Linked DNA regions of Sus scrofa. The protein of the gene in region 1 purifies or fractionates together with the protein of each later gene. This does not show direct contact. Links are inferred from orthologs where the notes say so. Each region holds a gene or a part of one and is shown in the gene's direction. Other genes may lie near its edges.

Region 1 (5,170 bases):
CACAGTAGAACTTCTTTCAAAACTGAAATCATTCCTCTCAAAATCTGTTGCTGCATTATCACCTAAGTATATGTAATATCCTAAATCTTATCATTTCAAGAACTGATTAAATTTACTGTCTTACATGGGCCTGGTTCATGGCACCCCAAAATAATTACAATAGTAACATCAAAGATCATTGATCACAGATCACCATAATAAATAAAATAATTAACAAGTTTGAAACATTGTGATAATTACCAAAATGTGACACAAGAGACACAAAGTGAGCAAATAAATGCTGTTGAGAAAATGGCGCCAATAGACTTGTTAGACTCAGAGTTGCCACAAACTGTCAATTTGCTAAAAAACACTGTTATCTAAGAAGCACAATAAAGCAAACCACAATAAAAGGAGGTCTGCCTATTTTTAATCCCTCTAGCTCCTCCCGGTTGGATACAGTTTGATACTGGTTTTGTGCCTCCATTAAGTTACTCACAGGTGGCTACCAGGTGATAGGTGGCTATCTCCTACTGCAGTAAGTCTCCCTGGGCCCTGGCAATCCCTTTCTCCCTTACCCCTTAGGCCTAAAGGTAATATTGACTCTCTGATTAGTTCCAGGTGCTTCACCATCACTTTTTGCTTTCTGCAATACTGTCCACATCTTTGTAAACTGCCCTTTCATTAAGCACCTTCCAATCACCTCTCTTGAGTATGCTATCTGTTACTTGCTGGGATTTTTACCGATATAACATTATTGCACTAGCTTAAATTATTCACAGAGAATTTCTGTTCTTCCCATTCCATTCACTGGTTTAACTAAATTAATCACTTCACATCAGGCACCTGAAGAAGGAAAAAGGGGCCTATTTGGATGTTTGATAGAAGAAGTAACAATGGCTATCTGCTGTACCAGTTCTCCTATATTCTCAAGCCTAGGCACTAAGTTTCTAGAGATTCTTGTAGATGACACCATGTGCCATGCCAGAGACCTCACACGTCCTACTAATGAGCTGCAGTGGTTCCCTACAAAGTATCAGGTCTCAGGTAGGTACCTAGGCTGAGCACAAAAAACATAGCATTCAACACAGGGGCCCCAGGCTGCAATCAAGTGGAATTTTTTCCCCACTTCTTCCCCTATGTCTGAAACTATGTGGTATTTCGTTTGAACAGGGCAAAGTTGTGACAGACTCCCTAAGTAGGAATTTAACCCAGGACAAACTATTGCAGAGGAATAGGCAATGGAGAATACTCAAATTACAGCAGGACATTTACATGAGAAATTCTCAGTTTTCTTTACATTGAAGACAGCTGTATTATCTCTGACTCAGACTGAAAAACCTTCTAAAGAGTAGATCGTAAAGAACACTTACAAAAGATAAAAATGCTGTGAAGGGGTGCTTTACAAAAGCGTTCACATTTAAGCAACTTAATCTTGCCCAGTTAGGTTTTCAAAGGGGGGGGGGGGAGTAGCAGTTTTTATATACCGAAAACAAGTACCATGTGACCTACTTAGTGTTTCCACACAGTGAATTCGTCTCATTTGTGCACTTGCCTTGCCCGCAATCCAAGAACAGGCATCCTCGACTTCAACAAAAGAGCTACTAGTACTAGCGCGGGAAGAAGAGAGGATGGCACGGTCCGGAGACACCAGCTTGGGATTCACAAGAGCACAGCTCTTTTCCAAGCTCAGCTAGATGGCAACCCGGCCAGTCCCTAAGCCTTGCTCACCTCAGCCAGTTTCCTTTCTCAGTGAGGCCCCGCCTTCTGGCCCAAAGTACCAATTAAAACTACCAAAGGAAAAAGAAAAAAAAAAAAGAAAGAAGAAAAAAAAAAAACCAATAAATTGCCGGACCGCGTCCTTGACTGGCAGACTCTCGCGAGAACTTGAGGAGTGCCGGCTGTTCCTGCGGAGACCTCGCGAGCCGACCTCCGGGGGCGGGCTCCGCGGTGGCCCCGCCCTTCCTGAGCGCCGGCGCGCCTTGGCGGGAATTTCGCCTGTTTGGGATTTAGACCCCACGGACTCGCTAGTTGTGGTCCGGACTGCTGAGGGCGGATCTCGGGGACTGAAAGCGTGAGCAGGTACGACGTGCCCTAAACTGGGGGTACCTGGGTGTGCAGAACACCAGCTCTGTGGTCGGCCGCGCCGATTGGTGCCTTGTGCGGATCTGGCGGGACTTGCCCTTTGCCCCGTAAGGAGTGGGGTTTTGCGTCGGGCCCTTCTGGTCCCTACCCTGAGTCTGCAGGGGAGCTTATAGTTCCCGGCACTGCAGGAAAACGGGCTCAGTGAGGTTTGGTAACGTAGCGTAGGGCACAGGTCCAGGCGGGCTCTGGAGTAAAGCTAGATCTTTCCTGCAAATCTGCTTTCCTCTTAACCCAGTCCCGGGCCGCAGGTCCGACGTAAAGGGGATTTCTGAGATCTAACATCCTTAGTCTCCGGGAGTCAGTTGGGGGAGAGTTGCTGAGGATTTGACTTCTTGGTTTTTTTTCTTTGTGCTGGGGGTCGTTTGGGGAACTTTCTGAGGTCACCTCCAGTTTCTCTGCCCGCCCCACCTCCAGGAATCTCGTCACAACTTCTTTGGAGCCTTGATGATAATCATAATGAACCCCACAAATTTCAGGACATGAAGTAAGCAATGGATAGCTGTTCTGCTGCATCAACATTCCTGACCGACAGCTTGGAACTAGAACTGGAGAGAGAATGGTGCAACCCCCCTTGCTTTTCTTGTGATTTTGACAACAGAGGAGGAGGAAGGCATTTTTCTGGAGAGTCCTACCTTTCCAGCGGAGCCCTTAAGCGGTAGGTAAAAAATCGGACACTTTGTTTTTCCCTATTCAGATTTTTTATCAGGCTGTTTAGGAATGTTATTTAACTATGACTTCAGGCAATTAAACTTTGATGACCACCAAGCAGTTTTTGTAAGTCGGTGTACTACATCACACGGATACAAGCTTATGCTGTTGGTTTCCTCCTTGGAGTTTATCTGAAAGATTTTTGGAGGGAGAGCTTTCTTGTTACCTGAGGCTTTCTTACCTCACTACTGCCTCCGCTTTGGAGTAGGGAGCTGGGCACTGATTTACCTTTTATTTAAAGTGAAATCTGAACTACCTGGGCTTTTTAAAGTGGCATTTCCTTCTAAAACATGAGACAATGTTCTGAAGCTTCTCAATAATTCCTAAGTACACATATGCATTTTTTGTCACCCCAGTGTCTTCTAATTCTGTATATTTATACATACAGAAATCTTATAGACTTATTTTTCTTTAACACTCTAATAAATGCTCCAGATGGTATAAATTCACAGAAATGTTATTCTTCAAATCTCTTGTTTTGGATGTATACACATATTGCAGTCAAACTGCTGTGATTGAAATATTTTAGAAATGTTTGCTGAGGCAATTTCATCAGAAAGGAAACCATTTTTGTGGATTTTCACAGCTGTACCTTCTTTGAGACCTTAAAAGATATTATTCAGCTTGATTATGCCCTTCTTTAGTCATGGTTCAGAATAGCTTTTAACTGTTTTAAAAATTACATGTCCCCTCAAAGGGTGAAATTCTACAACTGAAGAACAGAGTGAAGACAGATGAAAGTATGTTCCCTAGAATCCTTTTGACTTTTTCTCAAGTTACATTTCTCTTTACTTATCCTTTCTTAATCACAATATAGGATTGAATTCTTAATACAGTCTAGCTTCAGTATTCCTAAGACATGATGTATCAGGCATTTCTTGACTTTATAACATCATGGTGGACTTGTCATATGTAATATGGATTCATATAATATACGGGATTTAGCACATCGTGTGAGATTAAATCAGTGTTTTCATTTCAGGCTAATTTTGAATCTCGATCCTTTACCAACTAATTTTGAAGAGGATACAGTGGAAATATTTGGCATTCAGTGGGTTACCGAAACAGCATTAGTGAATTCATCTAGAGTTCTCTTTCATCTATTCAGGTATGTTTTGTTTTATTTTTAATGGCTGTTAAGAGTAGATGCTGTTCAGCTTTAAGTTACATTAGTGGGTAGTTTCTAATTTTGATATTACAAAAGCACCTGTAGAATTGTGCATGATGCTCACTTGATTACCTTATCAGTAACAATTAAGCAATAATGTTTGGTGGATTAGGGATTTTGATGAGATCTTCATTACTGATATTCAGAATTTTTATTCTTCTGTATTTGACAGCATATATTAAAGACAAATATTTAAGGCTTTGAACTGTACAATAATTTTGGAAGAAAAATGAAATATTTTTGTGTTTAATAGCCATTTTTTTAATAATGTATAGAGAATGAACTCAGACTTTCCAAATATATTTTTCAAACTATATAATAGAAATGTGTTTAACTTGGACAATATTACAAAAAAACTTTCAATGAAAGCTTTCAAACACAAAAATGTGGAGAGAATAGTATAATGAATCTCTATAGACCCTCTTTCAGTTATAATAAACATCATGTTTTTATCACATTTTCCTCATGTGTTCTTTTCCCTCTCCTTTCTTTTTTTTTTTTTTTTTTTTTTTTTTGTCTTTTTGCCTTTTCTAGGGCCGCTTCCCATGGCGTATGGAGGTTCCCAGGCTAGGGATCTAGTAGGAGCTGTAGCCACCAGCCTACGCCAGAGCCACAGCAACGCGGGATCCGAGCCACGTCTGCGACCTACACCACAGCTCATGGCAACGCCGGATCGTCAACCCACTGAGCAAGGCCAGGGATCGAACCCGAAACCTCATGGTTCCTAGTCGGATTCGTTAACCACTGTGCCAAAACGGGAACTCCTCACTCTCCTTTTTGCTTAAGTTTTTTTTAAGCAAATTCCAGGCATCATGTCATCTCATCCTTAAACACTTCACTATGCATTTCTTAAAAATATGAACTTTTTAAAATGTAAATATTATCTCATTATCACAATTAACAAAATTGAAACAATTCTTCATTTTTATTTAAAACCTAGTCCATAATTCACATTTTAGTTTTCGAAATGGAGTCATTTATCAAAGACAAATTATTATCCCAGAACACATTAAGAAGCATGGTAATTTTAGGAGTTCCCGTCGTGGCGCAGTGGTTAACGAATCCGAATAGGAACCATGAGGTTGCGGGTTCGGTCCCTGCCCTTGCTCAGTGGGTTAATGATCCGGCCTTGCCGTGAGCTGTGGTGTAGGTTGCAGACACGGCTCGGAT
Region 2 (5,137 bases), on another chromosome or scaffold:
GGCGTCTCCTCCCTTCCTGAGTTGCCGGCAATACATGGGTCAAGGGGAGGGGTCTCCTGAATGTTTCTCTTGGTCTCCTGGGTGAGGGTGATTGGGGTTACATAGTTCCTATTTCTTACTCATGTTGGCAGTGACTGAAGCTCTACCTGCAGAGCACTATCACATTGGGTTTTTTTCCTTTTTCTTTTCTTTTTCTTTTTTTGCTTTTTAGGGCCGTACCCATGGCATATGAGGTTACCAATGCTAGGGGGTCGAATCAGAGCTACAGCTGCCGGCCTATGCCACAGCCACAGCCACGTGGGATCCGAGCTGCTTCTGCGACCTACACCACAGCTCACGGCAACACCAGATCCTTAACCCGCTGAAGGAGGTCAGAGATCGAACCCACATCCTTGTGGAGCCTAGTTGGGTTCATTAACCATTGAGCCACGAAGGGAACTCCCACATTGGGTATTTTCTTGTTCTATTTTGTTTTACCATCAGTTTACTTATTTGAATCATTTATTAGATGTCACATGCCTGGAAAACTGGGGCTGTTTCCATCTTGTTTACTAGTTTCCACAAATCCTATCACTGTGTTAGAGTTCAACACATATCTGTTGAATCTAGTTGGCTTATGTTGCTAGATAGCGTGGGAACAGCCATTACCCAGAGGTTAAAGTCGTGAGTTCAGGGAGCAACAGTGCATTCACGTCATCTTGTGTCCCAAGCTGGGGTAACTGTAGGTCAGACTGTCAAAGAAATCTGGAGTTTAAATATTCTGTCTCAATGTTTTGTATACTTGACATCTATTATCAATCATTCCGAATGGAGAATCACTAGACGGGCTAAGTAGATTTTGGGTTTTGTTCCCCAGGCCACTCCTCTTAGGGCCTCAGTTTCCCGATCTTCAAAAGGAAGCTGGAGCAGACGAATCCAAACATCTCTTACTCGTCCAGCCTCCTCTGATTTTGCGAGGTGCACCCTAGGACTCCATAAGGGGGATCTGGCTTATGAAAGCCCAGGCTGCTGTGATTTCAAATCAGTTCTGGCTCCACGGTGAATGTGACACCAGCACTTGAACCTGATACCGCCGCCGCCGCCGCCGCTGGCCAGCCTCTTCCAGGAGACTCAAACCTTGCATTTATCGATGTCAAGTTTTGGGGTGCAGTGAACTCACTTCAAAAAGGATCCAATCCCTTGTGACAGGGGTGAGCAGTATAGTCACAGCGATACCAACACTCGCATTCTCTTCGAAGCCAGTGGGAGGGGTCATTTCTCTCCACAAGTCGTTAAATATTTTCCTTCTTGTCCTACAAACTCCTTTCTATTCCACAGAAACCACTATGGGGCGGGAGAGAGTCGCCCGTCATTGCTACGCACGCACACGCATCTTTGGCAAGTCTGATAAAATGCAACTACACAGTTTCTCTTTAAAGTCTTGTCGTTCCCGGAAGGAGTGTCTGTGATTTTTAAAGAGCCCGACACGCTCCCATTTTCTAGTCGGACGCCAAACGGGCGGGACATCAGTGTAACCCGGCTTCCCTCAGGTCCTCCAGCGCTGTGGACGCTCTATGGGACCGCCTCGAAGGCGGGCCGCGTTTCGCGCCTCTCTAGCCGGCTCCTCCTCTCTATGGTCCGTGCTGGGCTTCCGGTGGCGGGACGCGGGGCCGCGCACGCGGGAAAAGCTTCCCCAGCGTCCCCCCCGGACCCCCCGGACCCTACACCCCCGCTGCGTCCCCCAGCGAGCCCACCGCCCGCTTGCGGGCCGTCTGAGGCCGCAGCTTGAGAAAGTAGGTGGTCGCTATCGCCGCGCCCCAGGAAGGCGAGGGCCCTGCTCCCCCGCGGGACGCGTGGGATGGACTGTTCCGCGTTGGAATCCGCGGGCAGCGGGCGAATCCATTTTAGCGGGAGGGGAGAACTGTGGGCCTGGGGCCGCGGCGCGGTGGGAGCGCTGGGAGGGAACTCGTGCTTTTTGAGCGGGGTTGGGGCGCGGGCGAGGTGCGGGCTCCGGATGGCCCAGGGGTTCCGCTGCTCGTTGCCATGGCGCCCGGTGGAGCGCCCAGAGGGGGTGTCTGGTTGGGATGTAAGAGGTACTTCGGGCCGGCTTCTTAAGCCCCGGCCGGGCCTGGCCCTGGAGTTCTGCAGAACCGGCTTGCAGGGTTCCCAGGCAGGGAGATCGTGAGACATCCCAGGCACAGGAAGGGTTGCCACTAGGCTCCCTCCGTGGCCAGCATGAGGTGTTGTTTTTTCCACTTAACTTCAATCCACTTATCCCTCTTCAATTCAGATTCCCAGCCTGCGTTGTGTATCTGCACAACGTACCCAGGAGTTGGGGCCCAGCTCCCAGTTGAGGCCTACAGGGGCAGGTCAGCATGGCAGAAACACTGGAGTTCAACGACGTGTATCAGGAGGTGAAAGGCTCTATGGTAAGAAGGACTGGGGCTTTTGAAACAGATGGAGGGAGGGAGGCGGAGTAGACTTTTTATCCACTCGCAAGAGCTTGTGCTGATGATGTTGCTACTTTGGAAAAGAAGTCAGTTCGATGTGTATTTGGTAGTTCCCCAACAAGAAGCATTACTGAGTGAGGATACAAGAGTTACAGGATGTCAGAGTTTGAAGGGACTACACCTGCTGCTCAATCCTGAATCCCCAAACTGAGGACCTGCACGGGTTCTGGATGCCAGAGCGAGGATTAGAATCCAGATCTTCTGGCCTTACTCGTCTCTTCTTGCCAGCCCTCACCACTTCAGCTGTTATTGCTCCTGCCTGATACCTGACCAGCCCAGAATGGGTGTTGGGTGGGACCGTCCCTGCTCTACGCTATGGTCGTCCCTGTGCATTTGGGCCTGTTTTCCCAACAGAATGATGGTCGGCTGAGGTTGAGCCGCCAGGGCATCATCTTCAAGAACAGTAAAACGGGCAAAGTGGACAACATCCAGGCTGGGGAGTTGACCGAAGGGATCTGGCGCCGAGTAGCTCTGGGCCATGGACTTAAACTGCTCACGAAAAATGGCCACGTCTACAAGTACGACGGCTTCCGAGAATCGGTGAGATGCCCCTTGCCATAGCCCCCTTTACTGTGCCATCTTCTTTAGTTTTAATCTTCTTGAGAGAAGTGGGGCTCCTTCTGATAACCGTGCAGTTGCTAGTTTGGGATCCTTAAAGCAGGACCGTGGAAGCCATTAAGCAGTCAGTGTTCAGCTTTGGGCTGCAGAGTCTCGGGAGTTTCTTTGTGCTTTAACTCCAGAAACTTTTCTACTGTTTTGATTTTTTTTTTTTTTTTTTTTTTTTTTTTTTTTTTTTGGTGGTTTCTGCCTGTTGCCTTATCCAGGTTCAGGGGCTTACCTTGAGGTTTTAGGTTGGTGTTGTTTTTCCATTTTGAACGGCTTGTGTTAAAGACTTTACTTCATTTCCACTTTCACTAAAGGAATACCTGTCCAAAGTCAGAAAAACACTGTGAGACCTGCAAGCAGGAGTGTCAGTCCTTACTTTACTCCTCCCCCAGCCCGAGTCCAGCCAGTCCCCAGAAATAGCCTTTTTCAACAGTGTTTTAACAATATTATAGCTCTAAGTCAGCGTGGATTTCTGATGAAAGTTTATTGGGGTCGTTTCTCAGAAGCAGATAATCTCAGGACCCTCAAGTTCTGTGTTAAGGCTACTGGGGTTTCACTGGGCTTGTTCTTTCCCCTCTTCCCACAGGAGTTCGAGAAACTCTCTGATTTCTTCAAAACTCACTATCGCCTTGAGCTGATGGAAAAGGACCTCTGTGTGAAGGGTTGGAACTGGGGAACAGTGAAGTTTGGGGGTGAGTCCTGGGGAAGATTGAGGTTTGCGGGGAGGAGGTAGGCTGAAGGGTTTCAGCCTTTAACTTGTTTTGCTCTCCTCCGCTGTTTCTGATTTCCTACCAGTTTGTAATTCATCACGTATTTATCGAGGACCAACACTGTATGAGGCACTGTGCCCGGTCCCTGGGGCACAGTGCGAACAAAATGGTCTCAGTGCCCTGTCCTTTGGGAGCCTCTAGGCTGGTAGGAAGGAACATTGTTTATGCGGAGCCGAGGGAAGGAGCTTGTGGCTCAGTGTGCCCTTTCCTACAGGGCAGCTGCTTTCCTTTGACATTGGTGACCAGCCGGTCTTCGAGATCCCTCTCAGCAACGTGTCCCAGTGTACCACAGGCAAGAATGAGGTGACACTGGAATTCCACCAGAATGACGATGCAGAGGTCTCTCTCATGGAGGTGCGCTTCTACGTGCCCCCCACCCAGGAGGATGGCGTGGACCCCGTTGAGGTGAGGCCTCCCCTGGTCTCTTGGGAGCAGATGGTGCTGAGCAGGCCCTGGGTGGCCCAGGAGCAGGATCTCTGCTGCTCGATTGCCAGGGTGTGCTCTTATAGGCCTTTGCCCAGAATGTGCTGTCGAAGGCGGATGTGATCCAGGCCACCGGAGATGCCATCTGCATCTTCCGGGAGCTGCAGTGTCTGACTCCCCGAGGCCGTTACGACATTCGCATCTACCCCACTTTTCTGCACCTACACGGCAAGACTTTCGATTACAAGATCCCCTACACCACAGTGCTGCGTCTCTTTTTGCTGCCCCACAAGGACCAGCGCCAGATGTTCTTTGTGGTAAGAAACCACTGGGGGTGCATTGTGCTGGGTTTTGCCCCCGTCTTTAGTAGACAGATCTCCCCCACATTCAGTTAGCCGCACGGCCCTGTGGAGCACTGACTGCTGCTGAACTTGGTCGGCTCTTCCTTCCCAGATCAGCCTGGATCCCCCCATCAAGCAGGGCCAGACCCGCTACCACTTCCTGATCCTCCTCTTCTCCAAGGACGAGGACATCTCCTTGACTCTCAACATGAACGAGTGAGTGTGTCCCTGGTCTGGGCAGCTGTGCCATCCGAAGGCAGCAGTGCTTGTGACCACGCGTCTTGTTTGCAGGGAAGAGGTGGAGAAGCGCTTTGAGGGGCGGCTCACCAAGAACATGTCAGGATCCCTCTACGAGATGGTCAGCCGGGTCATGAAGGCACTGGTGAACCGCAAGATCACAGTCCCAGGCAACTTCCAAGGGTGAGGGTGCAGGCCTGGGCTGCCGGCCGGCCCGGGGATGGGCTGTGCCATGTCTCCACAGTAAACGCCTCCCGGGTTGGGCATGCAG
Region 3 (5,010 bases), on another chromosome or scaffold:
GACAAAAAAAAAAAATACAATTAAAAAAATAAATAAAACCGACATGAGATCTAACTCATGGGAAACTTTTAAGCTTGCTGGGAACAGCGTGGGCATATGAGTCTACAATACAGCTGTAAATTTTATGAAATCTAAGCTAATTTTCAGTGAAAATGTAGCGTCCAGATCACAGACGTGTTGTTAAGTAAAATAAAGGATTTCAACAGCTTCGTGCTGAGTAACAAAATGTAAGCTACCTGTGTTGTATTTTTTAATACTGAACATATGCTGAAAAGGTGTTTCAGCTAAATTTTAATATATTTAAGAGTATGTTAAAATTAACTTTTTAAACTTTTTTAAAAAACGTGGTTAACTTCAGAAAAGTGTAAAACTAGGTGCGCTGTCACAGGTGGAAGCAGGGAGTGAGTGCGGATGTCCCTACAGTCTTCCAGACAGGGGGCGACGGCGCTCCAGCCCCAGTGTGGGAGTAAAGTTTCTAGATGTATTATGCAGTCATAAATCCTGCCAGTAAATTTTCATGACCCTGTTCAACGCGCGGGGAAGGGTGGCCTCGAGAGGTAAGTGGAAGAGGCCGGACTCGAACTCTCATTTACAGCGTGTCTACCTGAAACCTCCCCAGAGGCTCTCGAAGGGGAAAAAGCCGGATTCGAACCAAGCCCGACTCCCGCGACCCAGGCCCCCGTGAGCCCCGTTACTGTCACACCGTCTCCCTTCAGGGATGGGTTAAACGTTCACAACGTTCACAACGGACTCCCGGGCCGCTGGGCCTGAAGGGCCAGGAGACCCATAGAGAAACTTCCGGCAACGCTCACCTGCTGAGACTCCAGAGCCGCAAACGCTCTTCCTTTCTCTTCTTACACCCCGCTCAACAGCGCCGGCAGTCGACTTCCGCTCCACTCCTACGAATCCCCCACCGAGTCTTATTTCCTCCCGCCCCCCAAGGTCAACTCAGCCAATAAACTCTCAGAGAATCGGCTTTATTCCCGCCCCACCCCTGCCTGCCAATCACCGCAGGTCAAGCACCGCCCTTCCCGCACTTTAAGAGGGGATTTGGCGAGCGCCGCGCGCCACCAATTGACGGTTGGCGGCGCTGCCCGCGGCTGGAAGCACCTCCCGGAAGGGCGGGGCTAAGTCCGGACAGCGCTAGTGCGGGGACCCTCGGGATTGGCCAAGAAGAGCCCTGCGTTTTGACCCCGCCCACCCCGCCCTTGACATTCGAGTCGGAGACTCTAGGGATTGGTTCCCGGCGGACTCCCAAAGAAGCCAAGAGACTGTCCCGCCTCCCTCCCGCATCCAGAAGAGGGAGCTCCACCGATTGGTCTCGGGAGTCTCGGCGCTTGCCTACCGACGCTCCAGGATTGGCTGGGGGGGCGCTCGCGCCGCCAGGGAGCGTTGACGGTGATTGGCTGGAGGGTGGGGCCGGCTATTTGAAGGAGGCGCGCGAAGAAGATTAGCTCTTCAGACCGCGATCGGAGGAGGCGCGAGCAGTTTTGGGTAACGCTGTTCTGCTGACCTGACAAGACCCAAACGTAGTCTTGGCCCCAGCTCTGGCTTCAGCCTCGGCCCGACGAGGCAATGGCTAAGGTGTCGGTGCTGAACGTGGCTGTTCTGGAGAATCCGAGCCCTTTCCACAGCCCCTTCCGGTTCGAGATCAGCTTCGAGTGCAATGAGGCCCTGACGGACGGTGAGACTGGGCCTGCGTGGAGCGACCCCCCTCCCCTGGGCCGCCCCGACCCTCCCCTTGGAGACAACCCTGTGAAACACCCCCTCTCCCCCAAATCTGATTTCCCGTAAACCAACACCCACCCCCAGCCTTAACCTCCCCTTTGGGAAACTACCCCTTCACCGTACCCCTATGGTTACTCGCGTTTTCCCCCGTGAAAACCTCATTATCCCCCTCTTTTTCCTGTAGCTCTCCTCTTGGGTACCCGTTTTCTAGGTAGAGACCGTCAGCCACCCTGACTTTCCTGTAGCAAGAGACTGCCCCTACCTACCTACTATTTAGGGGCAAGCCGCCATTCCAGCCATTCAGTCCTCCCCACCAAAAGGCTGTCCCCTGTGGTGAGGCACTCCCATCTCACTTTTTTCCTATGGAAACCCCAACCTCCAGCCCCCTCGAATTTCTCCTATGGAAATCCAAGCCCCCTCCCAATTTCCCTATGGAAACCTCAGCACCCTCCCATTTTCCTTATGGAAACCCCAGCTCCCGCCCCTTTCCTATATGGCAACTTCAGCCCCCTGTTCCATTTTCCCAATGAAGACCCTCTCCCCCTGTGACAAGACCTCACTCACCCCCATCTTCCCATCTGTCTTCCCATAATCTCCTCCCTGCTTGCTGATGCTCTACCTGGGGAAGCATGGCCAAACAAGCATAAGTTGGTTCTTACCATTTGCCTGCCAGATTCCTGCTGACTTACTGTAGCAATTCTCCCCCACTTTTGATGGTCTGACCTAATCTGGAGGGTGGGTATGCCAGGCTGAGCCATGAAGGTATCTGGCTTCAATCAGCTCAGAGGTCACAACCTTTTGTGCATCTTTTTCAAGGCGCTTTTATAGATGTACTTATTCATCTGTGTGACAAAGGTGGACATGACTCTCATCTCACAGATGAGAGCATGGGATCCACAAAGAGTAAAACACCTTTTTTGTACTTCTATAAAAATCAAAAAAAAATCTAAGGTCATTCAGAGAGTTTTGGCACCACTTTCGGGAGAAAGTACTCCATTAGACCTCTTCTCCACTTAGTGGTTAAGAGGCAGCGGCTAAGGAGGTGGAGATCTGTGAGGCCAGGGTGTGCTAACTAGCACCTCTCAGTGGTAGGTGTGTGCTTTGCATGCAAATTAGCCACTTGGTCTAGCCTGGAGTTGATAACCCTTTTGATATATGTGTGTGTGTGTGCTTAGACTGGGCCAATGGATCAATCTTCCCTGTTTCTCTCCTTTCTAAATTAAGGAATCTACTTGTGACTATAGTATAAGCCCAGTTAAATCCTTTCTGGAACAAGACAGTGTAAATAAATAAAGTGAAGAATCACCCTGTGGAATAAGATTTCATTTTAAAGCTAGGAGGAGATGTAAGGAGCTAATAGGTTAAGGGATTCACAGAGCCAGATGGCAGAAGATTGAGTTTCAGTATGTCTGTTTGTGATCCTCGGGGTTAAACATGGTTGCATGGTCATTATCTAGTACATTTACTCCTACAAAGTTCCTCTCCTGTTACTTTACTAATCTGTTACTAGAATCAGCACAGGAAAGGCTAAAGTCAACCTGCTGATCATTATCTTTCTTTTTTTTTTTTCTTTTTTAGGACTGCACCCACAGCATATGAAGGTTCCTAAGCTATGGGTCAAATTGGAGCTACAGCTGCCGGCCTACACCACAGCCACAGCAACGATGGATCCAAGCCTCATCTGCGACCTACACCACAGCTCACGGCAACGCCAGATCCTTAACCCACTGAGCTCAGCCAGGGATCAAACCAGCAACCTCATGGTTACTAGTCAGCTTCATTAACCACTGAGCCACACTGGGATCCCCGGTCATTATCTTTTAATAGAGAGAAATGGAATGATTTCTCCAAGGTCACATAGCCAGTTTGTAGAATTATTGACACTAGGTCTTGTCTCTGAGTTCTTTGTCCAAAGTTCTTTATCTTTCTGTAACCAGGGAAAGGCCTCTCCTGTGGAATGTAAATAGGACTGACCATAGATTTTATTTCCACATGAAAACACTGTCAAAAGAGGGAAAGGTGGTGCTATTATTAATTATACCTGGACAGTGAAGCTTTTGCTCAGAGAAATTCCAGTTAGAAAACCTGGAAATGTAGAGTCTTTTGTTGTACCTCTAGGGCTATCCTTGACTCTGACCTGCCAACTTGCTTTCTGCCTCTTCCCACAGAGCAGAGAGAATTTGTTTCCTGCCTCCCAAACAGATGGAGTGGGTCTGGCTTTAGAATTCTCTCAGATCCTGGAGAAATCTCAGTCTTGTTTCCTAGTGACTTCAGATACTGGTAACTGAAGATTTGAACACTCAGCCCCCAGTCTGACCCATTTCTCAAGGGCTCTGAACCTCTTTTGCTCTCTCTTCTTCTTAGCATCTGGAAATAGATGTTTGCAAATCATGAGTCCACATTCAATACATTAGATGTGTTTTTCCCCTATTTAATTGAGAAATTCAACGGATGCTGCTTGAATAAGTCTTAGAGCCAGATGTTCTGACCCACACTTAACATGCTATAGACAAGCCAAGGTTCATATGTATGATTATAAATAAAGGGAAAATGATAAACAGAAAAAGCCCTATTGGTTAAGTTGGTTTTGTTTTTTAATTTTTGGCTTCACCCATGGCATGTGGAGGTTCCCAGGCCAGGGATCGAACCTGCACCACAGCAGTGATAATGCTGCATCCTTAACCATCAGGGAACTCCAATAAGTTGTTTTTAAAATCACGGAACAGATTCTCCAGCTAGTTGAACTACAGTAATTTTGTTTTTACATGTCTTTCATCATCATTGGTTTGGGGTTTGCTTTCATACATAAGGGAGGACCATCTTGTGCAGTGGTTAGATTATAAAGTTAAGGCATAAAGACAAAATGTAATGTAGTCAGTTTACCCTTAAAATTTCTCAGAAGGTTAAGTACACAGTGTTACCTGTATGCAAACATGTCCTGTATTCAGTAGGAATGAGTTTTTGCTGTGTTGATTACTGACACCCCATATCTAACAAAAATAAAGTCACTTTTAAGCATACTTCTGCTTAAAAAACTTAGGCAAGTTTAAGGCAATTCCAATTTGTAGATCCTCATTTTGATCATCTTCTATCCTCCACAGATGATTTTATCAGATCTTCTAACTCTTGAGTAAGTATTTCGCTGTTGTAGTCCTGGTTAGTTCTCTGGTTTCTTTCTGGCCTGTGCAGAGGGAGTCACTATGACCCATTTGCCTGGCTGCTTGGTTTCTCTCTTCCGGTCTTGTGATTCTTCTCTTCCAATCAGCACCTACACGGTCTTTG

What was found.
Region 2: the proteins of MMS22L (region 1) and SSRP1 purify together in Homo sapiens (affinity purification with mass spectrometry; 3 studies listed by BioGRID and IntAct, counting the BioPlex papers as one, with this or other methods). This does not show direct contact. The link is inferred for Sus scrofa from reciprocal best matches to the Homo sapiens genes MMS22L and SSRP1.
Region 3: the proteins of MMS22L (region 1) and ASF1B purify together in Homo sapiens (co-immunoprecipitation; 4 studies listed by BioGRID and IntAct, counting the BioPlex papers as one, with this or other methods). This does not show direct contact. The link is inferred for Sus scrofa from reciprocal best matches to the Homo sapiens genes MMS22L and ASF1B.

What each region holds. Positions count from the first base shown.
Region 1 is NC_010443.5:64,456,704-64,461,873, reverse strand, and holds the start of MMS22L (protein MMS22-like), read left to right. Parts: upstream 1-1,917; 5' UTR 1,918-2,061; intron 2,062-2,538; exon of another isoform or gene 2,539-2,600; 5' UTR 2,601-2,615; coding exon 2,616-2,779; intron 2,780-3,814; coding exon 3,815-3,940; intron 3,941-5,170. UniProt on the Homo sapiens protein: Component of the MMS22L-TONSL complex, a complex that promotes homologous recombination-mediated repair of double-strand breaks (DSBs) at stalled or collapsed replication forks.
Region 2 is NC_010444.4:13,618,110-13,623,246, forward strand, and holds the start of SSRP1 (FACT complex subunit SSRP1), read left to right. Parts: upstream 1-1,611; 5' UTR 1,612-1,772; intron 1,773-2,269; 5' UTR 2,270-2,354; coding exon 2,355-2,408; intron 2,409-2,843; coding exon 2,844-3,029; intron 3,030-3,681; coding exon 3,682-3,787; intron 3,788-4,079; coding exon 4,080-4,270; intron 4,271-4,374; coding exon 4,375-4,605; intron 4,606-4,741; coding exon 4,742-4,845; intron 4,846-4,920; coding exon 4,921-5,049; intron 5,050-5,137. UniProt on the Homo sapiens protein: Component of the FACT complex, a general chromatin factor that acts to reorganize nucleosomes. The FACT complex is involved in multiple processes that require DNA as a template such as mRNA elongation, DNA replication and DNA repair.
Region 3 is NC_010444.4:65,061,702-65,066,711, forward strand, and holds the start of ASF1B (histone chaperone ASF1B), read left to right. Parts: upstream 1-1,484; 5' UTR 1,485-1,575; coding exon 1,576-1,684; intron 1,685-5,010. UniProt on the Homo sapiens protein: Histone chaperone that facilitates histone deposition and histone exchange and removal during nucleosome assembly and disassembly. Cooperates with chromatin assembly factor 1 (CAF-1) to promote replication-dependent chromatin assembly.